Linked DNA regions of Diceros bicornis minor. The protein of the gene in region 2 purifies or fractionates together with the protein of the main gene of each other region. This does not show direct contact. Links are inferred from orthologs where the notes say so. Each region holds a gene or a part of one and is shown on either strand. Other genes may lie near its edges.

Evidence for each region.
Region 1: the proteins of DIS3L (region 2) and HBS1L purify together in Homo sapiens (affinity purification with mass spectrometry; 5 studies listed by BioGRID and IntAct, with this or other methods). This does not show direct contact. The link is inferred for Diceros bicornis minor from reciprocal best matches to the Homo sapiens genes DIS3L and HBS1L.
Region 3: the proteins of DIS3L (region 2) and EXOSC2 purify together in Homo sapiens (affinity purification with mass spectrometry; 5 studies listed by BioGRID and IntAct, with this or other methods). This does not show direct contact. The link is inferred for Diceros bicornis minor from reciprocal best matches to the Homo sapiens genes DIS3L and EXOSC2.
Region 4: the proteins of DIS3L (region 2) and EXOSC3 purify together in Homo sapiens (affinity purification with mass spectrometry; 6 studies listed by BioGRID and IntAct, counting the BioPlex papers as one, with this or other methods). This does not show direct contact. The link is inferred for Diceros bicornis minor from reciprocal best matches to the Homo sapiens genes DIS3L and EXOSC3.

The regions. Positions count from the first base shown.
Region 1 is NC_080762.1:3,272,910-3,280,587, reverse strand, and holds the start of HBS1L (HBS1-like protein), read right to left. Parts: upstream 3,011-7,678; 5' UTR 2,895-3,010; coding exon 2,852-2,894; intron 1-2,851. UniProt on the Homo sapiens protein: GTPase component of the Pelota-HBS1L complex, a complex that recognizes stalled ribosomes and triggers the No-Go Decay (NGD) pathway.
Region 2 is NC_080744.1:60,497,981-60,505,597, forward strand, and holds the start of DIS3L (DIS3-like exonuclease 1), read left to right. Parts: upstream 1-4,603; 5' UTR 4,604-4,659; coding exon 4,660-4,798; intron 4,799-6,184; coding exon 6,185-6,338; intron 6,339-7,617. UniProt on the Homo sapiens protein: Catalytic component of the RNA exosome complex which has 3'->5' exoribonuclease activity and participates in a multitude of cellular RNA processing and degradation events.
Region 3 is NC_080767.1:38,101,040-38,108,788, forward strand, and holds the start of EXOSC2 (exosome complex component RRP4), read left to right. Parts: upstream 1-4,747; 5' UTR 4,748-4,766; coding exon 4,767-4,888; intron 4,889-6,481; coding exon 6,482-6,583; intron 6,584-7,749. UniProt on the Homo sapiens protein: Non-catalytic component of the RNA exosome complex which has 3'->5' exoribonuclease activity and participates in a multitude of cellular RNA processing and degradation events.
Region 4 is NC_080767.1:6,211,817-6,219,380, forward strand, and holds the start of EXOSC3 (exosome complex component RRP40), read left to right. Parts: upstream 1-4,554; 5' UTR 4,555-4,569; coding exon 4,570-4,902; intron 4,903-5,665; coding exon 5,666-5,815; intron 5,816-7,564. UniProt on the Homo sapiens protein: Non-catalytic component of the RNA exosome complex which has 3'->5' exoribonuclease activity and participates in a multitude of cellular RNA processing and degradation events.

The DNA.
Region 1 (7,678 bases), on a different chromosome or scaffold from region 2:
GCTCTTTAACCAGATTTTCATTAGGCTGTTTCCTTCCCCTAGTTAAGGTTCCAGCTCAAAGGACACCTGTATGCAGAAGTCTTCCCTGACCACCCCTGCCACTTTTACTCTCTAGCACACTCCTCCAACTGACTGTCTTCAAAGCACTGTACCTGCTTCACTCCCTGAGACTCTAAGCTCCTTCAGGGTAAGACACTGTGTAGCCAACTACCTGGCACATAGCTGGCACAAATTAATACATATTTTATTATAAATTAATGAATCAAACAATTTAAAACTAAAAACCCACAAAGAACATAAATATGTTTACATAAATGTATTTATTCATTCAACAAATACTACCATGGACAATTAGAGACATTTAGGGTACAACAGTGAGTGACAGGTACATTCCCAGATCCCTACAAACCTAAAATGTAACCAGGAACACAGAAGAGAAAACGGGCAATTACAAAACCACACGACAAGTGCCTGACATGAGAGATACAGAGCTACTGGGAACACACATATGAACAACAAAAATAGAATGGGGAGTGAGGTGGCTAGGGAAAAACTCCCGGGAATATAATATTTAAAACAATCCCAAAGGATGGCTAGCTAATTTCTGAGGGTATTCATGCAGCAGGAACAGCATATTCAAAGGCGGAGACCAAATGTATACAGCAAAGAAAAATTAGCTAAATACCACTATTGGATAAAAGTGTGTAACATCCAATAAATTATTAGATCACAATCCCAATTTAATAACAATTTATTAGCAAATAAGCCATTCACAAAAAATATTTTTAGATATTAATGACAAAATCTTTTTTACTAGGTCAGTTTTTCAATACTGAAATTGACCCTAAAAGCGCTACACTATAAAAAGATGAAGAGAATTCTTTCCTAGGATTTTTGTAAAGTGGTTCTTTTCCCCGACAAAAATTCTGGAGTATTTACTGCATGTGAAGCATCGGAGTAAATATCAACATAAAGCATAGACCTTGCCTTCCTGGCACTTTTACACCAGTAGCTGAGGTACTCACGTGAAGTACTACCCAAGTTACAGAGAAGGACAGTGCGCGAGTTAAACAGAGGAACCAATCGGTTTTGGAGCACAAACTCTCTCTAATCAGTTATATGACTTTTGAGAATTTTTAAATTATTATTCTCAGAGTACAAGCGCAAGCTTAACTGGGAAGAAAAGAAAGAAACTGGACTCTTAAAGTAAGTATAACTTTTATTCGCAGGAAAAGGGGATGGACCTCTTATGCTACAAGGAACAGCTTGGTTATGATGTCATCAATTGTTCCAAAGACACATGACACCACGACAACCTGACCTGGGGTTGCCAAGAAGAGAAGATATGTAGCACTCACTCCCTCAGGCCAAGCACCTCTTCTCCAGGAAGCTTTCCTTCACATAGAAGGCCTGCTTAAACTCCCCCAACCCACTCTGAATAAGTGGCTCCCATAGCACTGTGTGAGTCCTTTCTGCAGCATCTCATACTCTAATCATCTCCCTCTTAAGATTCCCTCAAACATCTTACCATCGGTCCCCAAGCTTGGAACAGTACTCTAAGCACTCAGTTAATGAAGAATAAGCACTCAATTAATGTTGGTTGAGGAAATGATAAATATTTATTTAAAAAATGAATAAGTAGTAATTAGGCCTATTCACGTTTTTTGTATCATACGTGCAAAAATATGTCGTGGGCTAAAGTCATTTCTCAGGTAATAACCGTCACATGCAATACTTACCTCCACTGCAATACTTAGGGCGGCCTGCATTCTGAAGTGAACACCAGGAACCTAACGTGTGCCAGGATGACTGGGTCCCAGGCTCGAAACGTAGCACAGGGTGTTAGCTACCCTCGAGGGTGAGAGCACACTGATGTTCTAGAATAATCTGCTGGGAGTGTCAATAATAACCACCAACATATTAAGCACACTACATGCTCTGCACTTTACAAAGCAATAGGTCTTCACTCCTCTGCTGCACTCATTCATATACGTTTATAATTTTAGTTTGTATGATGCTTGGTGATGCCTATAATTATCCACTGCATAGAGATGCTATGCTTGTCCTAAACATTCTAACTCCTTGTAAACGCCTAGAGAACATTCATATACATGTTTTTTCCTTTTATTTCATTTTTTAAAATCAGTAAGTCCTTTTCAAAGCCCCCTTCTAGTACCGCTTTTTTTTTCCATTTCAAAATACATTTACTTTGAGAATCATCAACCAAGAACTGAGTATACCCCTCAGATCATCTGATCGACTTATTCCTTGGGCCTTTTTAATATCTATCTTTTCTACCGTCTCCTAAGTTTCCAATTTAACTTGAAATTCACAGAACGTAAGTTAATCAGTTAGATGAAGCCAGGTTCTGCACTAAACGTGTGAACAAACACAAAAGACTGACACGTAGCTCTAACAGGCACAGCAGAACAGATGAATGCAACCTTTAAGACACCCCGTGTTTTACAAACAAGGAACATATGGCACTTCTGAAATGGGGGTCGGGGAGGAGGAGCTCGACGCAGGCGGCGCGCCCCGACCCGGGAGGGCAGGGGAGGCAGGAGGTGACGACGCTTACGTGCAGGAGTCCCCGGGGCCGACCTCCCACACGTCGTCCCGCACGCCGCCGGGCAGCGCGGCCCCCGCCCCAAACAGGACCGATCCCCGAGGGCAGAATCACCGCCCAAACAATGCCACCGCCGGCATCGGGGTCCCGCCGTTTCCTCCAGCCGAGCCTCCTCTGACTCCTGGCCCCTCCGACGGGACGCTCCCAGAGCCCAGGGGATGCCAACGGGCAGGGAGCCCGGCCGGGACGGCGACAGTGACCTCCCCGCATGACCCTGCCACCTACCTTCGTCGTAGTTATAGCCTCGGACATTCCGATGCCGGGCCATGGCGGCGGAGAGGGCGTTCGCCACAGCCCCTGACGAAACACCCGCTCAGACACGGACAAGGCGCCAACTGCGGCCTGGAGAACACCGATACGCCATCTTGGCTTCCGGCAGGCCTCTGCGCCGAGCGCCTGCGCACGCGCGACGTCTTACCTGCGCACGCGCGACGGCAACCTCTAGGGGTCACCCGCCTCCCCCGGGACGCATGCGCACTCACGCGCACGGAGATTGCGTTTCGGCGTGGCCCCGCCCACAGACTGCGTGACTGACAGGAGTTTCAAAGGGGCGGAATTGCACCGCCCACAATTTGTTGTTTTGGAGCAAATTTACGAGCCGGATCCTTTGATCTATGCCCGTGTTCCAGATTATTTTCCGAGTTTAGTTTCTGATAATGTAGTGAAAAAGCTGACTGTGTGCTGAATAAGAGCAGGGACCTTGTCTCATCCAACTTACTTTCGTCTTTGAGGTCTGCTTAGGGACGTAAGCATTAACTAACTTGTGTACATTTGTTTTAAGAATCAGTCCAAGCGTTAGAGAGGAAGAAAGGACCCTTTTTAAGTGGGTATATATGGTTAAATTGAGAATCTGGCTGCAGTAGGTCACCGTGCTTTCGTGTGATTCTTAGTTGCACGTATGTGCTCCTCTTGCACTAATGCCTCCAGTAAACGACCATCTGCCCTTGGCCGTGTAAACGGTTAGCAGCAGCAGCATGAAGAAGGATTCATTGAGCCTTCTGAACACACGATCATGTGTAACATAATAAGAGTATTAAATATAGCTTTTTGGACACAGTACTGGCCTTGGATGGTAGTGATGAACGTTGATGAATAAATCTATAACCGACTATTAAATGTCCTCACTTCTTAGAACACAAAGTGAATGATGCCATGTAAAAAACCAACCTCATTATCATACTAAACAAAGTATATTTCAGTTTTAGGTTGTGTTTTTGAAATGGTGATAACTTTACATCAAAGGCAAATCTCAAATTCTAGAAATGAATTAAAAGCTTAATCAGCTTTCTATTATCCATAATAGAAAGAAATGAGAATAATACACATTCAATTCATATCTTTGTTTTGAAATGTAATTTATGCATGCATTTGATTGTCTGACTACCGAATGTTTGTTCTTATCTTTGCTATTTAATGTATCTCCAAGACAAAATTTTACACAAAAATAGATAGTTGCTAATTTTACATTGCTTATGTGTTTTCTTTATTATACGGTTTCAGATAATTTTTATGTTGCAGCCTATTTCTTTGTCTGTAAAGTGGAGACAGTAATAGTATCTAACTCATGAAGTTGTGAATAATAAATTAATTTATCCACGTAAGAGGATTTCACACAGATCTTAGTACGTGCTTTAAAATATTAGATGTTATAAAAATACAAATGGCAGCTTCCAGCCCACTGTGACTGCCAATTACAAGCTTCAGTATAACTCAATGAGGTGTGAAGTGGATGAGTTATAAATTGACTACATAAACAAAGTACTATAGGAGCAATGAGGAAGAAAACATTACTTCTGCCTGAGGGATAGTATATAATTTGCCTCTGGGTCATCAGTAATGCATTCCCTTAAAATTCTAAATACTTGGGAGCCCTGATTGCATCTCAAGCAAGAAGGCCTCAATAGCAAAGCCTTCGCTGACTTCCTCAGCAAGTGTTAGGGATCTTATCCTCTGCCCCAGAGCTCTTCAGATGTGGCTATAAGTTTTGTACCATGGTTTGATGGAAAGACCATGACTTTGGAATCACACAAAGCAGTTCTGCTGCTTTCAGTTTGTGAATGTCTTTGGGCTCAATTTCTTCATCTGTAAAATGGATATAAAAAGACATGTCTTCTGTTTTGTGAAAAGTAAATGAAGTGATGGATGTAAAAACAGTAGCTGTTACATAACAGGTACCATAAGGGAGGAAAAATTCTCTACCCTCTTTGAGTCTCCAACTGGGTCCAAGAATTAAACTGACACAAGACAGTTTAACAGGAGAAAAAAAATATAACTGTAATAAATTTTTACTCATATATGGGAGACTTCACAAGAGAATGAAGACCCAAAGAAGAGACCAGAGCCAAAATCTCTTATACCTTTCAGACAAAGAAACAATCAATTTGTGAAGAATTGACTAGACGATGGGGTTTGGGCTATGAGTAGTAAATTGTGGGGAAGTGACTAGGAGATATGGGGGGTGGGGAGAGGGCGGCAAAAAAAGTGGAATATAAGCGTTATTTCAGAAAATTTGTACAGATCCATTTCAGCATCAATTCCCAGTCTCTGATGATCAGGATGCTCTCTCCTCCTGGTACAGGGAAGGGCACCTTTCTCAGGGGAAATTTTGTGGCCTGTTTTAGATAGAAAGGGGAGGTCAGAGAGTCCTTCCTGAATCTGCTGTTTCTCAAGTTCCTCCAGCTCAGAATAATCAATGTGATATTTGAGGTGACATGCTCTGAACTCCTTCAGTACTCAATAAATGCTAGTTGTCTACCCCACTAATTGGAAAGCTTTATCTTTGTTTCTCCAGCCTTCTGTCTGGCACTTTGAATGTTTGCTGAATGAATTAATGAATTAAAAAAGATAATATAGCCTCTTGCTATGAGATATTTAACAAATGCCATAAAAAATTATACAAATAATTTTTACATCAATTTGTAAAAAAATTATAAATGAAAGTAGCATAACTACATTACTGAAAAGTTTTAACACCTTTATGGAGGAATCATTGACTCCACATATCTAAAGTATATAGTTTGATATGTTTTGATGTATTCACCAGTGATACCATCAGCCCAATCGAGATTATGAACGTATCCAGATTCCCGAAAGTTTCCTCAAGTACCTTTATAATCTCTTCCTCCTGCCCCTTGCTATCTCCTCATCCTGGCCCCAGGCAGCAACTGATCACCTTTCTGTCACTATAGATTAGTTTGTATTTTCTAAAATTTTATAGCAAGGAAATCATATAATGTGTGTTCTTTTTTATCTGGCGTCATTCACTCAGCATAATGATTTTGATATTCATATGTGCAGGGGCTTGAGTCAATAGTTCATTCCTTTTTATTGCAGAGGAGAATTCCATTGTGGGAATATAACCACAATTTGTTTTTCCATTCACCTATTGATAAGATATTTGGGTTGTTTTTAATTTTGGCTTCTACAAATAAGGTTGCTATGATTACTCATGTACAACTCTTTGTATAGACGTAAACTTTGATTTCTTTTGGGTAAGTACCTAGGAGTGGGATGGCCAGATGATATGATGGCTTATCTTTAGCTTTTTAAGAAACTACCAAATTGTTTTCCAAAGTGGTTGTAACATTTTGTGTTCCTGCCATCAGTGTAGTTCCATCTTTTCCACATCCTCACCATCACCTGGTGTGGTCTAAAGATACTGTGCTTGTTTGATGTTTCTGTATCCTCTTTGGTGAAGTGTCTGAATCTTTTTGTCACTTTTTAATGGGGTGTCTTTTCTTATTTTTTACTTTGTATCCTGAATACAATTTCTTTGTCTGATATATAATTTGGAAATATTTCTCCCAGTTTGTAACTGGTCTTTTTGTTTTCTTAATAGCAGAAGTTTTTATTTTTCATGAAGTCCAGTTTATCAATTTTTTTTATAATGGATTGTGCTATTGATTTTATAGCTAAGAAATCTTTGCCTAACCCAAGGTCACAAAAATTTTCTCCCATTTTTTAAGTAAATTTTACAGTATTGGGCTTCACGTTTAGATTTATGATCCATTTTAAGTTGATTTTTGTATATGGCATATGGTTTGGATCAAAGTTCATTTTTTACATCTGTATATTCAATTGTTCCAGCACCATTGTTGAAAAGAAGGTCGTTTCCCCACTGAATTGCATCTGCATCTTTAGAAAAAATCAGTTGTCCATACGTGTGTGATGTATTTCTGGACTCTCCATTCTGTTCCATTGATCTACTGCTCTATTGATCTAGCTTGACACCAATACTTTGCTGTCATGATTGTTGTAACTTCATAAATCTTAAAATTAGGTAGTGTTAATCCTCCAACTTGTTCTTTTTTTCAAAGTTCTTTTAGCTGTTTACGTCCTTGGCATTTCCATTTGAATTTTAAAGTGAGGTTATTAGATATTCCTGCTAGGAGTATCAACAAATATTCCTGCTAGGAGTTTGACTAGTATTTTGTTGAATCTGTAGATCATTTAGGGGAAAACTGACACTTCAACATTGCTACAAACATGTAATCTTTCAACATATGCACATCATATGTCTCTCCGTTTATATGGGTCTTTAATTGCTCTCAATAATGCTTTCTAGTTTTCAGTGATGGGCTTGAACAACTTTTGGAGATTTAATTCTAATTATTCCATATTTTTTTTTACTCTATTGTAAATATTTTTTAAAATGTCAAGGTAAAAGTATATAATTAAACTATTAAAATTAATGTGTTAACTAGTACCATCAACACAAAAAATTGTACTTATATATATAATAGGAACAAACAGTAGGGAAATAAAAATTAAAAGTAATTAGCTTTGTTAGTATAAAAAATATCATCAAATACCCAAGATAAATAAGGAAAGATTTATAAGGCCTAAACTGAAATTAGAAAACACTACCAAGAGAAATAAAGACAATCACATTAAGTGAAGAGATATTCCATGTTCATGGACTGAAAGAGTCACTATTATTGTGTTAAATGAAGAGATGGCAATTCTTCCCAATTAATCTATATTCGATGTTATCTTAGTCAAACCCTAGGAGTTTTTTGGTAAAAATTGACAGTCAGATTCTGTAATTTAAAT
Region 2 (7,617 bases):
GCACCCTCCTGCCAACCGCCCCCCCCCCAAAATCAATGAAACAGTGCCCCTTAGTGGTAGAAGGACAAAATTACTGGTAGGTCAACAGTATAGCAAAAATCTTGCTGAGATATGAATTGGTAAGTACGAAATAATTTCTCTCTAAAAAATTAGAAAGGGTTAAGCAGAACGTTTTAGAGTAATCATTGCAAAGTGGATTATGGGGATTCACAGGGTGTTTAGAAAGCCAAAAGGGAGCCATTGTATCTGCTGGGAAAAGTGAAAATCAAGGATTAACAGCCTTTAACATATAGGAAATTAAATTATCCCTAATACAAGTAGCAGAGGAATCTCAGCAGCCGTTTGTCCTCCAATGACTCTTCCACTGAGGTGGAGCACAAATGAAAGTAAGCGGATTCTTCAGAGAAATGGGATAATTTTAGATACTTACATGACCCTTTAGAATCATTGACTGGTTAATACCAATACTCAGCACCATCTGTCCTGCTAGCTGTCTTTTATAGTGGAAATCACCAAGGCTCATGGAAGTTAGGAAAGTAGTAGGGTCAATATTTGACTGTCATTGTTTCCAATTCCCTAAACCTAAAATAACTGGGGTCATCCTAGCTCCATCATATAGAATGTACCGCATGCTGTAACTCTTGCTGTTCTCTAGCTGAAAGGTGGCATGGCTATGTCATTACTGCCTGGGCTCTGTAGCCAAAACCATACATTGAGTGTGTGGCCTACTCAGTCCTTTCTTACTTCAGTTTCCTGCCTGTAAAATGGAGTTGGTAACAGCATCACAGTCAAGGCATTGTTTTGAGGATTAAATGAGAAAACACAGAAAAGTGCTTAGAGCAGTGAGTGGCACCTAGTAAAAGTTTGAGAAACATTAACTGTAATTAGCTGATACTACATAGATTGACAAGTTCTTCAAAAAGTTGCAAACTTTGGATTATATTTAAAGCCTTCTAGGATGCATACCAGCTCTCAACAACAGTAAATGACTTGGGAGGAGTAGACTTCAGATGCAAACTGAGCTTCAATGTTTTTACTTGGCACAATTCAGTATTGTTGGAATGTGTTGCAACAAGCATGTTGTACTATTGTAATTTTAAGTAAATAAATAGTGACAGAATATTTCAAAGCTTGCTTCAGTAATCCACTCTAGCCCTTGCAGTTCACCTTCCAGAATTTCTTTTATACATTTAACCTCCCTGTCATCTTAGCCCTTTGTAAAGATGCCCCACCCTCTCTAGGCTAACCTTTTGATGAGACCTTTTGATTTTAATCCAGTGGTTGCTGATGTCTGCACTCCCAGAGTGCATCTGCAAAAAGAGATGCAGCAAATGCTACAAACTCCTGCAGTGTAAGCACGCTGGTGCTCAGCCTGAAGAAGACTGCAGTCATGCACCAGGGAAACCGAGCCACAATCAGAGATTTCCATCTTCAACACAGGGCTGAAAGCTGTCACAGCATTCTGCTATCTGAGCACCAGGCTGCCCATCTGCACTTGGATTGACAAGGAAAGGGAAAACTGAAAAGAGAAGCAAGCTGCCAAGCATCCCTCCCAGTGTGGCACTGCTGTGGCACCATAGCCCAGACCAAACTAGAGCACCGAATACCACTGCTGCTCTCCCACCTCCTAGAGCACTGTACAATTTAGAACTGCTGTAGAATCCTCAAGCAGCTTCATCACGACATTTAATAACTAGAGAGGGGTTTTGAAACAAATAGGCACCCCTTCAGCAAGTTTCTTAATCTCCCTTGTACAGTGGGGATGTATTGATTAAGGTAATGCTAGCTGCTAAAACAAAAGTTTATTTCCCCCTTACAAGAGTCCCCTGTGGATGCTCCTGGTTGGGGGAGGCAGGGCTCTGCTCTGCACAGTCCGTCTGGGACCCAAGTTGATTGGGGGAGGGGGCGTGCTGTCTTCAGTGCTGCCTTCCAAGAGCCCCTGGGCTTTGGCATCCAGCCAGTGGAACAGGAAAGAGGAGTGCTCACGGGAGGTTTTTATGGGCCAGGCCTGGAAATGGTACGATTACATTCTGTGGCCACACCCATCTATGTGCAAAGGGAGGCTGGGAAATGTGATTCATCTATGTGCCCAGAGAAAAAGAGGACATGGATTCAGTGATCAGAGAGCCAGTCTCTGGCACAAGAAATGACATATTTACCTTGAGGGACTGTGATGAGGATTAAAGATGATGCGGTGATGTATGCTTGGCTCATTGGGGCTATTGGGGAGGGGGCCGAGGATGTAAAGAGGTGAGCAGTAGAATGCCCAAGCAGGGACTGGATAGCGGGCTGAGCTGGAGTAGTCACAGGTACAAGGGTGATGGCAGAGCAGACCCACTTAGGGCTAAGGGGTTTGAGTTGGGAGCATTCAGGTAGACACAAATGCTGCTCATCAAAGGGTTTCGGCACTGTGCCTTCAGGCTATGAGGTAGAAATGCACTTCCTGCCCCCGTCTGCCACCTCCCCACTCCCTACTCTCTCTCTCTCTCTTTCTCTCTCTCTCATCCCTCTATCCCCATTGGATGTGTGGTCATGTGACTAGTTCCGGCCAACAGGCAGAAGTGACATGTACCACTTCTGGACTGAGCTTTTAATTGCTCGCGTAAGGCTGTCTAGAGGGCTCTTTGCCCTCTGCCAATGAACAGCAAACAGTATCGCAGAGACAACTGGCTCCGTCACCCTGGGTCCTGGAGAAGCACAACACAAAACGGAGCCTCTAGGCACCCAGGCAACATCTTGTTGTTTTAAGGCACTGGGATTTTTGAAGTTGTATATTACTGCAGCATAACCTAGTTTATTCTGATTGATATAGAAACCTTTTTTTCAGGCAAGAGGCATCAGATGGTCTGTGAACAAACAAACCAACAGAAAGGCATTCTTGTCCATTTTAGATCATCACTTCCAAGAACTAAGGGATCATGCTTTTAAGAACATAATTTGTACATTATTGCCTCAATGCAAGCAAAGGAAGTGCTTGATGGGCCTTGGATTATTTTAAATACTGATAAAATCAACTTTCAATAGAGCCCTAGACACACTCTCTTCCTTAAAAGATCATTAGTCCCAATTTAGAGAAAGATTAAAGCTACCAAATGCTAAAGAGAAATGTTAAGGACATATAATCAGAAGTAAAAGAAAAATGAAAATGGATGAGCTTTGGACGGAATTGTGGGCAGCTGTCTGAAGCACTTCTATGTAGGGCACAAATTTGGCTACTTTCCCTTCCTCTGGGATCTCTAGAACTGACCTCCTCAATTAGGGAGGCCTCCTGCACTGCCGGTTGCCTTGTGGGCCCTCCTAACGCTCTGGCCTGTGGACCAGCACTGTAATGTTTTCCTAACTTGTGCAATTCCGTCTGGGATCTCACTCATATCATCCCACACTACAGATAACCTGACCAAAAATACTCCGTCCATGACTTTGTAATATGAGACCATGACTTTGTAATATGTTCCTCTAGAGTAAAGGAAGTGATCCACCAGGAGACCCTAGTTTTGCTAACTTCAGGGTAAGAGGAAGCTTTGATGTTCCCAGTCAGCTGGTAGAGCTGCCTTAACCAGAGCTCAACAAGTAGACTATAAACTCCTTAGATACAAGAGCTATATTTTATTCATCTAACAGCCCAGTAATTAGTTAAGAGCCTGCTTTGGATTCAGCCAGATTCTGGCTTGAATATTGATTCCACCACTTAATAACTGGGTAACCCTGGCCACTTAACCTCCCTAATCCAGTGTCATCATCTGTAAAATGGGGATAATAATGTCTAACTCCATTGACTTGTAGAAATTAAATGGGGCACTTGTATGTAAAGCTTCTGGTGCAGCTCAAAAGTCTTTGCTGAGTGCTTTGAAGAACAGTGGCTTCTATCCAACCCAAAGTGTGTGATCTCAGAAGAAACTGTATGAGTCTCCATCAACTTTAAAGGAGAATTCCTTTGCCAGAAGCTGCAAATGCTATAAAGTTGGGGTTGAATGGATAGTGTTTACCTCAAGGGAAGGGACTGGTTTTCATTTTATCTGCATTATTTGAATTTTTGTATGGATTAAAAATACATGGAATTAAAAATAAATACAACGTATTTAAGGGAAAAAAAATGTTGTGTTGGCAGGGTTGCTGGCTTATTTACTGAATCTTTTGGCTCCTTCAGGGACAGCAAGAGCAACCAACAGAAAACACTAATAATTACCCATATTAGAACAACAGCCCCGTTCCCATATGGACCTGGGGGTAGAAACAAAGTATAATAATCCTTTATAGTTGCACCAAATCTTCTTTCCCAAGACTTTACACTAGCTTCCATATATTATCTTTATCTCCCATAGGTCTTTGGGGTGGTTTCCATCCCTCCCTGCCCCCAAGCAACTGTAGGAGGGGAGAAACTGAGGCAGGTTGGGGGAGAGGGCCTCCTCCTGCTCTCAACCCCGGGACCCAGGCGGTTACCGCCGTTTCAGCCCCCCGCTCCCCCGGAGCGCCCAGGCAGCTGGCAGGAGGGCCGGGCCCGGCCGGAGCCGCGCGTAGACCAGGCCGGCCAGGCCCAGGGGGCGGGCCCGGAGCCTCGGCCTCGCCTGCGCCGGCGCCGCGCCGCGCCCGCCGCTTCCCGGCCGCTCGCTCGGGGCGGCCTCTCGGGGCCCGGAGCTCTGCCGGGCGAGCGCCGCCACCATGCTGCAGAAGCGGGAGAAAGTGCTGCTCCTGAGGACCTTCCAGGGCCGGACGCTGCGGATCGTGCGGGAGCATTACCTGCGGCCCAGCGTGCCCTGCAACAGCCCGCTCTGCCCGCAGCCCGCCGCCTGCCGCAACGGTCAGGGGCCCGGCGGGAGCCAGGGCGGCCGGGCGGGAGCGAGGGGGGCCGGGCGGGAGCGAGGGGAGCCGAGGCGGGAGTGAGGGGAGCGGAGGGCGGCCGGGCGGGAGCGAGGGGGGCCGAGGCCGGGCGGGAGCGAGGGGAGCGGAGGGCGGCGGGGCCGGGGCCGAGCGCCCGCCGTGAGGAGGAAGGGCACGGCCTGGAGGCGGAGCGCGAGGCCGCGGAGGCGCCCGCCCGCAGGCATTACCTCCGGCCCGACTGCGGGTCAGGAGCGAGGGGCCGGCGGCTTCAGAGCCGCAGAGACGCCCCTCGTCCGCTGCTTCTGGGCTCCCCACACGGGACTCCCCGACTGCTCCGCTCCATAACATGGAAGGGCCGGGAGACGGACGCCCCCCTAGCCCCGAGGCCCGGTGATTTGCCTTCCGAGGGGCTTGTGGGCTCAGGAACCTGCCCCCTCTTGCGCCCCAGGACCGTGTGGTGGTGACTGGGGAGTTCCTGAGCTGTTGGCCCCGCAGTGAGAGGCGGGGCGCGAGCCGGCGGCGTCATTTTACGTTGCTTTGCTCCGCACAAATATTCTGACCTGCCGGCACCGATGCCTCAGACGTTTATCCAGTGGACACCCTCTTCACTGCAGGATTTGTGAATAATCTGGGCCCTCGTTGTACAGGAAGGTCGTGGGGAAGTTAGATTTGGGACTGCTGTGCATTAGACCTTCCCTACTTGGTTTCTAGGCTGCAGGGTGACCAGTTTATCGAGGAAGATTACTGGTTCTCTTCCCTCTGGTGGGAGATGAGCGTGGGGGTCCTTTTCAGCGAATATTTGGAATCCTCAGCTTATGTTAAGGTGAACGTTTTAGTTACAGCTTGGCTAACCAGCTCTCTGAGACACGGGCAGGGTGGAAACGCTACCGCTGCCCTTGCTTGCACTGAGCATCTTTTCTGGTCAATTCAGTCTTTTTGGTCTTTGGAGACTCCTGAGCATGTTCACCAACTTGAGACAGAGACTTGAAATAGCTGGGCGAAACAAGTGGTTAACATGTATATTTTGGGGTGCCCCATTTGAATGTGCGTATGTCAGTGAGTTAACGCAGAAATATTCAGGTTGTTCTGAAGATTTGCTTGTTTGTTTTAAAAAATCAGTCATCTCCTTCTTCCCTGGCAACACCGTAAACAACATTGAGCTTTTATTTATCGCAGCTTCGGAAAAATGACGGTGCTGAATCTACCTGAACTTTGTGCCTCTACCAAAGTAGATTTATCTTGTCTTTAAAAAACTTCACCGTGTAGTAAGATTGGAAGTGATTTTGCACACTAGGGCACCATAACGTTGAAATAATCCAGGTTTGCAAATGTTGTCTAATCTCTTACGTTTTGAATTATGCTTCAGATGGGAAACTCTTGTCTAGTGATGTGACTCATTACGTGATCCCAGATTGGAAAATTGTTCAAGATTACCTGGAGATCCTTGAGTTTCCTGAATTAAAGGGAATTATTTTCATGCAAACGGCTTGTCAAGCTGTGCAGCATCAAAGAGGCCGGAGGTATCTGGTTTTCATTATTTATTTATTTATTTATGGCATAGATTTTTGTTTCCCCCTTAGAAAAAGCCCCTTGTTGGATGGAGAGGGGAGGAATTCATTACTTTGTCAGAAGAGACTTTTTGAACTAATTTGGTATTCTCTTTGCTAGTGAGGAATGCAGTAACATTATTTTATATTTCTGCTTCAACACCTGGCCAAAAGATCTGACTGTAGATCAATAAACTGCAGTGTCCCCAGTATGTGGGTATTTAAGATTCTTGGCTTTTGGTTTGCATTTTTATAGTAGCCGAGTTATTGCTGATTTCTTGTTGATAACGCATTTTACGTAATCTTATTTATAGACATATTGTTTCAGAAGCTTACTTTTTTTTCCCTTGGGAAAAAGAGTACTTTATTTTTAAATTTTAGACTCCTTTATTGTGGATGCAAATTGTACTTGTAGTGATTTAGTCATTGAAACCAGAATTAACTTGTTTTATTTTTAGATTACCAGTATAACTACCAACCATAGTAGTTGTATTTGCTAAACAAAAGATTTCTGATTGAAATGAGTCTAAAATGCTTGCCTTGTGCCTAAATGAATAACAGTTGTTCACCTTTTAAACAAGTACAGTCGCCCCTCGGTATCAGTGGGGGATTGGTTCCAGGACCACGGAACCAATCCAAACTGTGGATCAAAAACATAGTACCTACATGTAAAATCCGCGGTTGGTTGAATCCGCGGATGCGGAACCTGCGGATACGGAGGGCCGACTGTACTCTAAAAAATGGTTCTGCTTCATTTAACATTGGGAAAGATTTATGATTTGAACTTAAAGACTGTATGAAAACAGCATATTAGAATTATATATTCAACCTCTTAACACCCCAGGTTATTTAAACAACAGAAACTATGTGTTCATTCTTTTTTAAATGTTGTGGTTTTTTAAGGTAGCAAAAGATGAAGTATGTTTATTTGTATATGAAAATGATAAGTTGTCCTTATTATGTGCTCAGTTCAAAAAAATGTGCGTTTTTCTAGATTGTGTGCAGGTTTTTCAGGTAGAATATTTTTAAATGAGCTTGAAGTTGATTTTGTTCAGACACAAAGATATAGATGTTTATACACATCCAGGTTTAAATGCTGCTCCAAATGTCGTATTTCAATTTCTGCTACTAAAATCAATTTGTTGTTATCATTCTGATTGCTAACACACTGCCGAGCCTTTTCAACTTCTGTTTTCTAAAATATTTTTAATATTAAGGAGTGTTTTAAAAGCCAGTTCCTGGGACATTCAAA
Region 3 (7,749 bases), on a different chromosome or scaffold from region 2:
AAATAAAAGGAGGAGGATTGGCAATAGATGTTAGCTCAGGGCCGTTCTTCCTCAGCAAAAAAAGAGGAGGATTTGTATGGATGTTAGCTCAGGGCTGATCTTCCTCACAAAAAAGAAAAGAAAAGAAACCTTAACTAAATTGGAGTTGGGAAGGCCTGTAGGAGGCACTCTCATGCCCTATCATACATGTCAATTACACCCCAACAGGAAGAGATGGAGGCTCTCATCTCCTACAGGAAGTACAACTACTTTACTACTGAAGGAAGATTTCTCTCCCCACCTGGCAACAGCCCAGCCAATGAGAAGCCGTTGCTGCCTAGAACTGTTACTTTCCCCCAATAGACTTTCCTTTAGAACAGTCCCTCCTGACTCCCCCTATTTCTCTATAAAAGCAGCTCCCCTCCTTTGTTCTCTGGATTTGCCCGTGGTTCCCTGTAGCATGCACATCCCGAATTGCAGTTCTTTTGGCTATTCCCGAATAAACTTGTTTTGAGAATAAAATAACAGGCGAATTGGCTTTTTAAATTGATACTTTGGGCCGGCCCCATGGCTTAGCGGTTAAGTGCGCGCGCTCCACTACTGGCGGCCCCGGTTTGGATCCCAGGCGCGCACCGACGCACTGCTTCTCCGGCCATGCTGAGGCCGCGTCCCACATACAGCAACTGGAAAGATGTGCAACTATGACATACAACTATCTACTGGGGCTTTGGGGGAAAAAAAGGAGGAGGATTGGCAATAGATGTTAGCTCAGAGCCAGTCTTCCTCAGCAAAAAGAGGAGGATTAGCACGGATGTTAGCTCAGGGCTGATCGTCCTCTCAAAAAAAAAAAAAAAGATGTAGCATAAGTTGACAGTCACCTTGACTTGGAGTTCCTCTGTCTCCCTCCATCCAACTGCCCAGTGTGGACACTTCCTTCACCTCAAGGCTCACTCAAATACCACTTCTGTCCGGGGGGCTTTTCTTTCCTCCCCCACGCCCCATCCCTGAACTCCTGACTGAGCCCCTTGATGGCTGGGCAGCCAGTGATGCAGCTCTGTGGCCCCCACAGCACACAGTGGTGCTGTTGTTCAACTGCAGACGCTTATTGAATAAGTTCATTCATTCATTCAACAAATATTTATTGGGTGCTGTTCCAAGGGTACCTGGGATTTGTTTTCATCAGGGATGGTAAGACATGCAAACATGGAAATGACTGCTACAAAAGGAGAAGTTTGTTATGTTCACGATTCGCTAGAAACAGGACGCACAGCACACCCTGCAGGGACACATGGGGAAGCACTGGGCTTGATCAGGAGGCAGAGGGAGCAAGGACAGAATGTGGGAAGAAGCCTTTATTGTGGTTTCCACAGGAAGGAATGGGTGAGGCAGGGTGAGCAGGCTTAGGATTGGCTAGTTTGAATAATTTCAATGAGCTCTGAGGCATAGGGGCTGTCCCTAGTTGTCTGGTACCTGGCCCTGGGGTGATGAGGGCAGGTGGATAGTGGCCCGGGGTGTGAGAGCCCCATAAAGGAGGTGGTTGGGGGTGTGTGCTCTGGGCTGGGTAGTTTGCACATGAAAAGCACACTCCTGGGCCAGTTGTTAACTATCTAGGAACTAGCTAACCCTGGGAGAAGCAGTCCTTTCAGGATCAGCAAAGTCTAAGATATCCAAGCATCAGATCACAGAAAATAGAGGACGTGGTTAAGACAAGGGCCTGCTATGTATCCAGACAGTCCTAGGACTGGGCTGTGAACAAAACAGACAAGGTCTGGGCATTTGCGGGGTTCATATCCCTCGGGGGAGACAGATGGAGCAAACAAACAAGCAAATACATATTTTGTAAATCTATCTTATCTTTTCAACAAATACTGTATGGCTGCCCTCTATATGCCAGACTCAGTTCTCAGCACTGATGCACACTGAACAAAACAGATAAAGTCCCTGTTCTGAGAGCACTCACGTTCTCGTGGAGAAAGACTGCGAAAAACGAGCAAACAAGAAAATTCAGTGACAAGAAGTAAAACAGGATCAAGTGATAAAAAAGGGACTGAGAGTTATTCCAGATCAGGTGGTCAGGGAAGGCTTCTCTGAGGAGGTGATATTTGAGCTGAGATCTGAGTGAGGAGAAGCAGCCAGCCACACAAAGACCTGGGGGAAGAGAATTCCATGCAGAGCTCGCCAAAAGCGCAGTGATCCTGGGGGTGGTGACAAGCTTTGCATGCGGAACTCAGAAGAGACCAGCGCATCTGGCTGCAGCATAGTGAGTAAGGGAGTGGTTAGGAGGCAAGTGAGGTCAGAGATGGACAGGGCCACAATGATGAGTTTGGATTTTATTCTTAGTGTAAAGGGAAGCTGCCAGAATGTTCTAAGCAAGGAAATGGTTTAATCTGATCTGTTTTTTAAAGCTCCCTCTGGCTGCTATATGGAGATTGGATGGTAGGAGGCAAATGTAGAATTAGGGAGACGAGCTACTAGGTGATACCCAGGTAAGGGATGACGTTGATCGGCTTGGAGTGTGGCCCTGGAGATGCACCGATGGGGAGGTAGATGGATGTGGGGGAATCCATGAATGTGAGACCCGACTGGCCATTAAAATCACTCACGGAGTTAAAACACACACTCAGAGACTTCTGGGACCCCACCTTTGTAGAACCTCAACGGCTAAGTCTGGGCTCAGGAATCTGTTTCTAACAAGCCCCTCTGGGATGTGCACTCTGTTTCCGGGTGGCTGCTTGTCTCCGGGGTGTGAAGAGGCAAGTGCGATGCAGAGACAGGAGCACCAGAGGGGGCTCTGCAGTCTTGGGTTCTAGTCCCAGCTGCAGGTCTGTTGTTGGGACTCGGTGGCCCCAAATGATTGTCAGGAATACCAATGCCTACCTCCAAGATGGGCCGAGTGTGAGGGATAACTACAACAATGTTTGTAAAGCACTCAGCAAAGTACCAGGCCCCCCGGAAGTGTGTAGGCAAGGGTGCAGGGTCTGGGGTACAGCAGGTGCAGTCGGAAGGAACACTGGCCCTGCCACCAAGTGCTGTGTGAATTCCAGTCCTTGAGGGCCTCGATTTCCTCCTCTATAAAAAGATATCTGCAATGGACTGAATGTTTATGTCCCCCCAAATTCATATGTTGAAATCCTAACCCCTAAGGTGATGGTATTAGGAGGTGGGGGCTTTGGGAGGTGATTAGGTCATGAAAGGGAGCCTTCATGAATGGGATTAGTGCCCTTATAAAAGAGACCCCAGAGAGCTCCCTCACTCCTCCCACCATGTGAGGACCCAGTGAGAAGACAGTGGTCTGTGAACCAGGGAATGAGCTCTGGCCAGACACTGAATCTGCTACCACACTAAGAGAGCATCCATAATCTCAACGTTGTGACAGGCTTGTAAACGTGAGTGCTGTGAGAATGGGAGAGGCTAAGGTTACGTCCATCCCTCTTGGGATGAGACTGGATGATGTCAAGACTACACCCCACTCGGTCTAGGAGCACTCCTAGGCCCAGCTCCCTAGCTGACTGGGCTATGCTGGCTCAAAGGACACCACTGCCCTCTTATGGCCGAGGCTGGACTCAACAGATGGACCCTTCTCACACTTTCTTGGCTCTAGGATCTTGCTGCAGGCAGGGAAGAGGGCAAGTGTTTGGTCTGCCCACTGACGGGATGACCTATGGAGCTCTAGAATTTATATCATCGACTGCCGCACGGGTTGGATTTCTTGACAAGTGTAGTAGTAAGCCTTGCTTAGGTGAAAGAAATTCACTCAATTTGGAGATTTATCAAACAATTGGTCTGATGGAGGCAGCAGGCCTGATTTACTGAACACAGCATGTGGGGCTGATGCATCTTATTTCATTTAATCCTCTTTAGGGTCCTCGTGCATAAAGAATTATCATTTCCAATTTCCTGAGGTTGAAACTCAGTTTGTTGTGAATACTACAAACCATGCAGGACAAGGGTGAGGGAGAGGCTAGTGGGAGGCGGGGAGATGAGACGACAGAAATGCTCCTATGTTAAACAGGACACCGAGAAAAAAAACCACATATACATCTCTCTGTCCACGCTGTATCCTCAAAACTGAGCCTGGCACACAGCAAGCGCTGAATTCCCAGTATGTAAGTAATATATAAGTGAAGGAAATATAAGCCAGGATCTTTGTACTATCTGTGCACTTGTCTTCCCTACCAAATATACCTGCCTTGTAACGTTTAAAGGTTTCTTGTTTTTTCAAAAGAAATGTTAGGGTAAATCACCTCACTCCAAAGAAGTCATTATGAAAGAAGGAACCAGCACCCACGGGGCGGCTGTTACGTAGTATACTGGGGCTACTAGGAACAGTAAGAAAAAGGCCTCTTCTTTCTGTCCAAATAGCGTTTTCTGTAGATCCCACCTCCTGATCGTTCTGAGCTCTCTCATACAAAAACATCAGATTTTAGCAGCTTAGAGTTGGAAGGAAACTCAGAGGTCCATTTCTCAATTATCTCTAACCCTGGTAAGCAATAAATGGAATGATGAGTACCAGAGAGTTTTGGTAAAAAGTCAAACGGTATACAACCCGAGATTTTATTCCACACGTGCAGCCTTGCCAATAGTAAAAATGGCAACTCGGCTCCCTTCTTCCCTTCATGTTAACCTAATGGTTGACAATAGTCAGCATGGCCGCCAGACCGTGAGTTCCCATTGGCGGCTGCTCTGAGGCCCCGCCCCGCGCGCCCCTCCCTGAGACGGCCGGGAATTGCAGGGCCGGATCTCGCGGCTGCGGCCTGGCTGCGCCTGCGCGAGTCTTTGGCGCCAAGATGGCGATGGAGATGAGGCTGCCTGTGGCTCGGAAGCCTCTTAGCGAGAGCCTGGGCCGCGAGAGTAAGAAACACCTGGTGGTGCCGGGGGACACGATCACCACGGACACGGGCTTCATGCGGTACGTGGGAACTTGGGGACGCGGGGCCACAAGGGGCGGCTGCAGGACTCTCTGCACGTGGCCTGCTGGCCGAAACCCGGGCCGCTGTCCCCTTGCGTCTAAGGCCCTGCGGGACCCAGGGCACATCTGAGCATCCCAGTTGCCTCGTTTCCGGGTCTCGGGCTTCTAGTCCCTGCATCTTGTGTATCCCCATCGGCCTCCTGAAACCGTCCTCTCCTGATCTCTGGTGGCCGTGACTCCTGGGTCCTCTGCCTGAGGTCCATTTCTCTGAGCCTTCCTCGTTGGAGACCTGGAAACCGGGGAGGGTTAGGGGCAGGGCCTCTTAATAGTTTTCAGCTATCTGAGGGGACGGTGGGCTTTCCTGACTCGACCTCCTGTCCTCTCGGCGTCATCTCCTAGCCGGGTGCTCGGTTTTGGAATCAGTAATGTTTGGGTTTAGGGCAAAAATATATTGTGCTCCATGCACCCAAACAGACAACTTTAAATCTGAAAGCAGTACAATATGTTGTAGTTAAGAGGGCAGCTCTGCGTCGGACAGTTGGGGTTCCAGACCTGCTGTCACCTGTTATTAGCTGTATTACCTCTCCCAGGTCAGTTTCCTTGTCTGGAAGAAAATGATAAGAACAGTAACTATTTGATAGGGTCATGAGGATTAAATGAGGTAATAATTAAGAAAAGAAGCAAAACTCACCATCATATCACCATCGTAGATAAACACAAGTGTTATTTCAGCCTTTTTTGTGGGGGGTACACATGTACATGTAGGAGGGCTACTGCATTTACAGCATTGCCCTTTAACCTTTTGGTTTGAGGTTACTAGATCCTAGGAAATCTTTTTTTTTTTTTGAGGAAGATCAGCCCTGAGCTAACATCTGCCAATCCTCCTCTTTTTGCTGAGGAAGACTGGCCGTGGGCTAACATCCATGTCCATCTTCCTCCACTTTATATGGGACGCCGCCACAGCATGGCTTGCCAAGCGGTGCGTTGGTGCGCGCCTGGGATCCGAACCTGCAAACCCTGGGCCGCCACAGCGGAGTGCACGCACTGAACCGCTTGCGCCACCGGGCTGGCCCTTGGATCCTAGGAAATCCTAAGATTCAGTTCTTCATTCATGCATTCAACATATATTTATGTTGTGTGTGGTTAGGGTGCAACAGTGAACAAAGTGGGAGTCTCTGTCCTGGTGGAGTTTAACAGGGAGAGACAGATGATAAACAATAAGCACAAACAAATGAATTATTCAGAATGTTTGGTGCTAAATGCAGTGCAAAAAATTAAAAGTCGAGCAGGGTAAGTGGAATGTGGTTGGGAATGTGATGGGGGTGGTAGCAGCAGGGTGGGTGACTATTTTAAATGGGGTAGTCGAGGAAGGCCTAATGGCGAAAGTGACATGTGAGTAGACTTGAGTAAGATGAGGGAGATGTCCCTGTAGCTCTCTAGAGAAGGAGTGTTGTAGGCAGAGGGAGCAACCAGCACAAAAGTTAGGCTTTAAGGCAGGAGGAGCCTGTTAGGTTTGAGGAATACATTGTTCTTGACGGGAGAAGTCATCTCAAGTGTTACCCTGATATCCTTTGTATCTTCCTCTTGCAACAGCGGCCATGGGACTTACATGGGGGAAGAGAAGCTCATTGCGTCTGTGGCTGGATCTGTGGAGAGAGTGAACAAGTTGATCTGTGTGAAAGCTTTGAAAACCAGGTGAGAACAAAAGGTGTGTATTCTCTGTCTTGTGGCATCCATATCGCACAACCAGGTTTTTTCTGCCACACCACACCTCCCACCCCCACCCCCGTCTGCCTTCTCATTCTGTAGGTCTGCGATTTGGAACATGTATAGGTGACTGTAGAAAGTGCAGGCTTCAAAGGTTTCCCCACATTATGTGACCTCTCCAAACCTTTGTTCCCTCCTCTGCAAAATGAGGATAATATCATGACCTACCTTATAGGATTTTCATTAGAATTCATTGGAAAGGTGCATGTAAAGTACTTAGCACTGGGCCTCCTACCTAAAAGGACTCAATAAAGGTTAGCCCGAGAAAGGAAGCCAGTGGGGTCAGAACAGAGTGAGTGAGGGGGAGAGTAGGAGCAGATGCAGGCAGAGAGCTGAGGTGGGCAGTCGGCCTGCCTTGGAGCCATGATAAGCATTTTGACATCCACTTTGTATAATCTGGGAAGCCACCGGAGGGGCTGGAGCAGAAGAGGGGCATGATCTGACTTCTGTTTTAAGAAAATCACTCTGGCTGCTGTGGGGGGATTGAAGAGGGACAGGCGCAGGCTCAGGGAGACAGATTAGGGGACTGTTTTCATCATCTGAAGTGATGGTGGCTTGGACTAAGGTGGTAGCAGTAGAAGTGGGGAATAGCGATTAATTCTGCATATCTTTTGTGTTCTGAGTTTTTATTATAAAAGGGTGTTTGATTTTGTATTCTTTGGGATTTTCTATATATAGGACCATGTTTATGAGTAGAAAGAGTTGTACTTCTTCCTTTCCGATTTGGATGCCTTTTATTTTCTGGTGAAAGTAGAGCCACTAGGATCTGCTGCTGGACTTGTCCTGGAGCATGAGAGAGAGAGAGAAATCAAGGGTTCCTCCAAGAACTCCAAGGTTTTTGGCTTGAGCAGCTGGAGGGATGGAGTTGCCGTTCACTGAGATGGTGATGACTGGGAGAGGATCAGTTTGCAGTGGAGGAGGGCGGGGAGCTGCTGGAAAGCTTTGTTTTAGGTTTATTTCATTTGAAAATGTGTCTTAGTCACATAAATGGAGATGTTGGGTAGCCAGTGGTTCACTGCCGTCTGGAATTCAGGGGAACTGTACAGTCATGAGTGGTATTTAAAGCCATTAGGTTGGATGAGCTCACCAAGAGG
Region 4 (7,564 bases), on a different chromosome or scaffold from region 2:
GAGGGGTCCAACATCATTCGTTTGCATGTAGATATTCAGTTGTCCCAACAACATTTGTTGAACGATTTTTCCTTCCCCATTGAATTGTCTTGGCACCCCTGTCAAAAATCAGTTGACCACAAATGTGATGGTTTACTTCTATATTCTCAATTCTATTCCATTGATCTATGTCTATCCTTATGCCAGTACTACACTATCTTGATTACTGTAAGTAGGAAGTAAGATTTGAAATCAGAAGTGTAAGTCCTCCAACTTTGTTCCTTTTCAGGATTTTTTTTGGCTCTTTTGGGTCCTTTGAATTTCCATGTGAATTTTACGATAAATTTGTCAATTTTTGCAATGAAGACAGTAGGGATTTTGACTGAATCTGTATATCAATTTAGGCAGTATTATTATCTTAACATAGTAAATCTTCTGATCCATGAATATGAGGTACCTTTTCCATTATTTAGATCTTCAATTTCTTTCAATGTTTTGTAGTTTCCAGAGTTTAAGTTTGGCATCTCTTTTGTTAAATTTATTTCCAAAAGTTTTACTCTCTTTGATGCTATTGTAAATGGAACTGTTGTCTTAATTTCATTTTTTGGTTGTTCATTTCAAGTGTATAGAAATGCAATTGATTTCTGTATATTGTTCTTGAATCTGGCATCCTTGCTGAACTTGTTTGTTAGTTCTAAACTAAAGTTTTTTTTTTTTTTATGGATTCTTTAGGATTTTCTATATACCAGACCATTTCACCTGCAACTAGAGATAGTTTTACTTTTTCCTTTCCAATCTGGATACCTTTCATTTCTTTTTCATTTCTATCCCAACTGCCTGTGATAGACCCTCCAGTACAATGTTGAATAAAGTGGAGAGGGCAGACTTCCTTGTCTTGTTCCTCATCTTAGGGAAAAAGCTTTCAGTCTTTCACCATTAAGTATGATGTTAGCTGTGGGTTTTTCATAGATGCCCTTTATTAGGTTAAGGAGGTTCCTTTCTAATGCTAGTTTATTGAGTGTTTTTATCATGACACAGTGTTGGACGTTTTCAAATGCTTTTTCTGCATCTATTGAGATAATAATGTGGTTTTTGTCCTTTATTCTATTGATATGGTGTATTATATTAATTGATTTCAGATGCATTAAAATCCCATTTGGTCATACTGTATAATCCTTTTTATATGTTGCGATTTAGCTTGCTAGTATTTTGTTGCGGATTTTTGTGTCTTATATGCATGAGAGATATTGATCTGTAGTTTCCTTTTCCTGTGATATCTTTGGTTTTGATATCAGGGCAATAATGACCTCATAGAATGAGTTGGGATGTGTACCCTCCTCTTCTGTTTTTTTGGAAGAGTTTGTGAAGAATGGGTATTAATTCTTTAAATGTTTGGTAGAATTCATCAGTGAAGCCATCTGGGCCTGAGTAGACTCCACTTTACTGCTGTTACTGATGAGTTTGTTGACTTTACAACCTCATGAGACCTTGGACCAGTTATCAATGTATTGCTGCTCAGCTCTAAACTCACCCTTTACTGCCTGCTCTGAGAAAATGGATCTGGTCCTTTAAGATATCTTTCCTTTGCTGTCTCTCATGAAGACAATCTTTGTAGGTAGAAGGCCCTGCAGAGGCATTGCAGGAGGAATGGGTTTTGCTTCCTGGCTCCATTGTGCTCTCTGGTATGCGCCTGCAGCATGGCAGCTTCTCAGGCTTTGCTTGGTGCCCAGAAACACCCAGCAGCCAGCAGTTTTCCCCAGCACCCTATCAGGCAGTTTTGTAATAGAGCCTTCCAGGAGACACCTCCCCAGGAATAGCTTTCCCCAGCGCCCTAGAAGTGCCAGCAAGTTCCACTGGCACAGATTCCCAGTGACTCCCACCCTTTAACAAGCCGTGGCCCTGTCCTCTCCAACAAGGTCTCAATCGGTCCTGGCCAGCAGGGTGCTCTTCCTCGGGTGCGAGCTCTAATTCTTATTAGCCATGATTACTTGTGACTAAAAATATCTGTAGCAAGTAGACTCTCACTTGTGCAGTGGTAACTGTGAGCATTTGCGTTTAAATTCTTTACTTGAATAAAGATATTAACACTTCTATGGACTCTTTTACTATTAATTTCTGTATACAAATCAGCATGTAGTTCATTTGTAACTGTTAGAAACCAGTGAACTAAAAAATTTTAAAGGTTCACTCAAATATTACCTCCTTTGGGACACCTATCTTGACTCCAACCTTCCTCCCACATACAGTGAACCATTTCATCCTCTGTAGTCGGGGCTGACACCCTCATCAGATTGGTGCACCCACCGTAACACTTGGTATCTTCATGCGGAGACAGTAGGGCAGGGACCATGATTCAACTGATTGCCCAGCTCAATTCCTGGCTCGGAGCAAATGCTCAACTAGTGTCGTCGATTGAAAGGAAACAAACCCGTCCAACTTCATTACTCAATAAAGAAAAGCAACCGTGAGATGCCACTTTTCCACCTTCTCAAGTAGCAAAGGTTTCTAAAGAGGAAGTTTGGGGAGAGAGTCCGAAGGCCGGGGTCCGGTCCAACCTTTCCGAAGGGAAAGCTGGTCCTTCCCCCGAGGGAAATACTGAGAAACGGGAGGTGTGCGCCAGAGGCGGTCGAGGGCAGCGCCGCGCCTCCTGCGCGGGCTCCCACCCGGCAAGCCCCCAGACTGTCTTACGCTAGGGTAGAGTCGGCCCGGATCAGGAGTGGGCCTCAGCCCCCGGCCGCCCCGCCGGGAGCCCCCGCGCGGCCGCGAGGAAGGCGCGCCGCCGAACCCCGGCACGGCCGCCTCCGCGCGCCCATCTCCACCGGCCCTTTCACACCCGCGGCGCTCCAGCCCGTCCGCGTTCGGACGCGAACTTCGTAACCGCGCCCCAACCGGACCCTAAGGCCGGCCGCGGCTCGGAGCCGGGCTTCCCCCGGCCGGCACGCGGGGGGCCCTCCGCGTCTCCCGGCCCGCCCGCCGGCCTCAGCCGGGCCGCGCGCTCCCGCTCACCAGCGGCCGCGGGGCGCCGGGGCGGCGACGCACCCACGCGAAGGCACGCGGCGCGGAGGCCCGACCGCCTCTCCAGGCGTGTCGGGGACGGCGACCCCGCGCGGGGCTGACGACCCGCCCCTCCCGCCGAGCTTCCGGTCTCCAGCGACTGCCCTACTCTCGGCTTCTAGTTCCTTCTGTTGACTTGGGAATGAGGCGCACGATGCCCACGTGCCGCCCCCACCGGGAGGTGGACTTGATAGGCCTCCTCAGCCAGATTTGGACCGAAAGTCTCTTTTTCCAGACTCCTCTGCCGACGTGGGGTGCGTGAGGGACAACCCAGGGATCATTTCTCGACCTCCCTCTCTGCCTGGTCACACTCCAGGTCACTGAGCGCCCTGGGCATGGCCTTGGGCCAGCCGCGATCACCCGATACCTACTGGTTCCAGGCCTTCTACAGCTGGGTTGGAGTGGGGAGGAGAGACAAAGAATGTACACAGTTCCGCCTGCCAGGATAACCGACAAAGAGCAGTTCCTACAACCATCTGACTGCAAAACAAAAGCTACATTTCAGTTGGCCTCTTAATATTCTCTCATTCAGTTGGCTCGCCAGCATCTTTCCAAATTTGGACGGTATGTTAGAGATGGTCTGTCTTAAACATCCTAAAAATCTAAAAATTCACGTTGGGAGCAGATGCCTCAAAGAGATGGGCAGAGCCAGGCCCTCCAGTCCCCAGGAGCTCTCACCCCTCTGGGGGATCTGACCAAACGCCAGTTGGAGGTGCCAGTTGACAGAGGAAACTGATTTCAAGTAAGAGCCCTGAAAGTCAAGGATTGGCTGTGTGCTGGGGACCTGGAATTCGGCAGCTTCTCACCCGGGCAACTAAAGTGTGCTCCAGGGCAGGCAGCAGCAAGGACTGAACTGCACTCAGTTTTCCCGGGCCATGTAGGGTAGCTCAGTTATGCGGAAATGCGCATGTGATGTGTGTGTTTGCAGGGAAAAAAAAGTCTAGGGAGAAATGCATACCAAAATGTTAACATCCACTCATCCTTCAGGAATTACCTGTTTGGTGCCAGACCCTGGGCTACATAGAATAACTCGCTGACAGCCTAGCAAGGGAGACAAACGGGAGAAGACTAATGCGTTTTATTTTCTTTTATTATTCTGTTTTCCACAATGTGAATAGATATCTTCTCTAGCAACAACCAAAAAGGTTTTATTTTGAAGAAGAGAAATACGTTTCCTTGAGGGCGGAGTCGGAAGGAAGGGCCCCCTCCGCTCAGTTCCCAAGGTTCCCACGGACCCACAGGTGAGAGCGTCTGGTATCCCACTGTGCGACCGAGCACGGCAAGTGCAGGCTCTGCGATCGACTCCAGCTGCGTGTTTCTCGGAGCGACCCGCGGACAGACTGCAGGACAGGCGGCCGGCTGAGACACAATCATGGCCTCCTCGGCGGGCCCACCGGCCCGCCGCGGCCAGGCTTCTTAGACGTAGTTGGTTCAAGTCCAACAGACCGCAACTGCCGGAAACGGAAGGGCTGGGGCGGGCTGGCGATTGGACGCGGAGCGGAAGCGGAAGCCGGAAAGTGTGTGGTGGCGTCCGGTATGGCGGAGGCGGCGGCCGTGGCGGCCGAGTGCCCTGCGGGTGGCCGGGCGCGGGCGGCGCGCGCCGTGCTGGATCAGGTGGTGCTCCCGGGTGAGGAGCTGCTGCTGCCGGAGCAGGAGGACGCGGACGGCCCGGGAAGCGCCGGGGAGCGGCCGCTGCGCCTGAATGCCGGGGCGCGCGCCCGGGTGCGCGTCGTGTGCGGCCCGGGCTTGCGGCGCTGTGGCGACCGCCTGCTGGTCACCAAGTGCGGCCGCCTCCGTCACAAGGAGCCCGGTGGCGGCGGCGGCGGCGGCGGCAGCGGCGTGTACTGGGTGGACTCGCAGCAGAAACGGGTGAGTTGGGGCTCCGGAGGGGTGGTACGGCCGTGCGGGTGGTCTCCCCGCTCTGGGAAGACTTCTCGGAAGAGACAGCGAGGCGGCCCTGGAGCCCACCTCTGTTAAGGCTGGCCTAGAGCCCCGTCGTCTTGTGCCCACCTCTGCATCTCCTGTGGAGGGACCGTGAACAGCGGGAACGTGGCCCGAGAAGGGCAACCCGGAGAGAGAGGAGTTTGGGAATCTTGGCGTATAACGGGATAAGGACTGTGAGACATGGTCATTGTCTGCAAAATCCCACAGGTCGGGGCACCTGGCTTATCTTTTGGGGTCTCGGAGGGCAGAACCAGTCTCACTGAGTGGATGTCACAGGGAGTTAAATTTCTCTTAAAATAAGTGAGAACTTTCATATAGGAAAAATTGTGTAACAATGAAGTGGCCTTCCTTGGTTGTGAGGACGCCTTGTGTCACTGGACTTAATGTGCAAGTGGCGGCTGGGCCCTTCCTGATAAGGTTACTGAAGAGGTATGGGATACGGACCGTTTGAAGCTGTAAAGCTGAGCGCTTATGACGTGATTGTTTTTCTTTTGTTGAAAATGGCGTATGATCAAGTTTGTTGTAAGATTTGTATTAATTTATGAACTTGGATTTCAAAATATTTTTGGAATATCTCTAATGACAAACATAATAAAATAATCACTAAGGACTTGCTGAAGACATCTTCCAAGATCTCTTGGAAATGATTGTCATTATGGTTGTTCTCTTGTTCTGTTTTCTTTTGTAGTATGTCCCAGTGAAAGGAGACCATGTGATTGGCATAGTGACAGCTAAATCTGGAGATACATTCAAAGTTGATGTTGGAGGGAGTGAGCCTGCTTCTTTGTCTTACTTGGCATTTGAAGGTGCAACTAAAAGAAACAGACCAAATGTGCAGGTAATGATGGGAGCATTTGGTTTTAAAAGAAAAGCATCCAAATATTCAGAAACACTCAGATATTCAGGAGGCTACCTGAATTGTTTCCTAAGCTTGACCTCTTTTCCCAGTCTTGTCGTATGATCTCTCAGTGTCTGTGTAATCACTCCAGGCTCCAGGAGTTCCTTCCGAGGCTCCAGCTCTGGGACCAGAGCCACATACTTATTTTACATTTGCTTATTTAAATTGGGGGATGTTTCATCTCTACGGAGTTGAAAGGTTATATCTGTTCTTTCCGTCGTTATCTGTTATGTCTGTATCCACGGGACAAAGAAGTAAGCCGTAGGCTTAGGGAGGAAGGAGGAATAAGTGGTGAGAATTGCCATATCAGCCCACCATCCATCCTGATTGTAGGTCCTGGGTCTGGCACCTCACAACGTCAGTCACATCACTGTTTCCCAGCAATCCCTTCTTGGAGCTGACAGAGGAGCAGTCTTGTTACCTCAAGTTTTCAACTGGGGCTTTTCGTGGAGCATAGCCACACTCTTCCTATCCACCCAAGCCAGAAACTTGGTGGTTTCTTTGCCCCGTCTCACTCACCTCTCATGTGTCTTTAGTTGCGTAATCTTACTGATCTTTTTTGTTTCTGTTTCTGATTTTCTGCATATCCACCCCTGTATCTCCATTTCACAAGTTCTGGCCTTAGCTACCTCTTGACTGGACTCGGTCAGTGACCTCCTCGTTAACATCCCTGCCTGTACACATTTGCCCCTCCAACCAGGCTTTTGAGAGCTGACAGCCTCACACACTCCCCTTCCTCCAAAAAAAACAAAAAGGGTTTCTTCAAAGCCTACATATTTCTTTGGCATTATACTCCAGAAGTCTTCCCTCATCCATAATTTTTTCCTCTATGCAGCCATGCCTGAACCACACCAAACTATTTACCAGCATTACTGAACTCATAACTTCCTGTCCTTGTGCCTTTGCTCATGGTGTTCCCTCTATCTGGACTACTCTGTCCCCTCTCAGCCTGTGGAACACATGCTCATCTTTTGAGACCCAGGCTAAACACCACCACCTCTGTAAAACCATCCCGAATCCTCAATCACTTTTCTGATAACTTTGCTCCAGCACTTCCTGGATTCAGCCTTGAATGAAGTTTGTTGTTTATATGTACATCCCCACTGCGCTCTGAGACCAAATGCTTCTGAAAGGCAGAGAATGTTTTGTTCCTCTCCAGTTCCTTTAGTCACCAACAAATGGTACATACTTAACAGAACAAGTTCACTCTCCATTTCCTTAGTTTCATCATTTTGAAGTTCAACTCTGAGGTTTTTAAGTAAATCTTGCATGGAGAACTGTCAGTGAATTACCATTGTTCCATTTTTTTTTTTTTTTTGTGAGGAAGATCAGCCCTGAACTAACATCTGATGCCAATCCTCCTCTTTTTGCTGAGGAAGACTGGCCCTGAGCTAACATCTATGTGCGTCTTCCTCCACTTTATGTGGGACGCCGCCACAGCATGGCCTAACAAGCAGTGCATCAGTGCGTGCTGGGGATCTGAACCGGGGAACCCCGGGCCGCCAGCAGCGGAGCGTGCGCACTTAACCGCTTGCGCCACTGGGTGGGCCCCCACCAGTTCCATTTTGCTTCGAATAATTTGCATGTCAGGGGCTTCTTTTATCCATCAATCTTCTGTAATTCCTAGAGCAGTGCTGTCTGAGAGAGGTTTCTGTGATGACGCTAATGTTTTACATCTGCACTGACTAG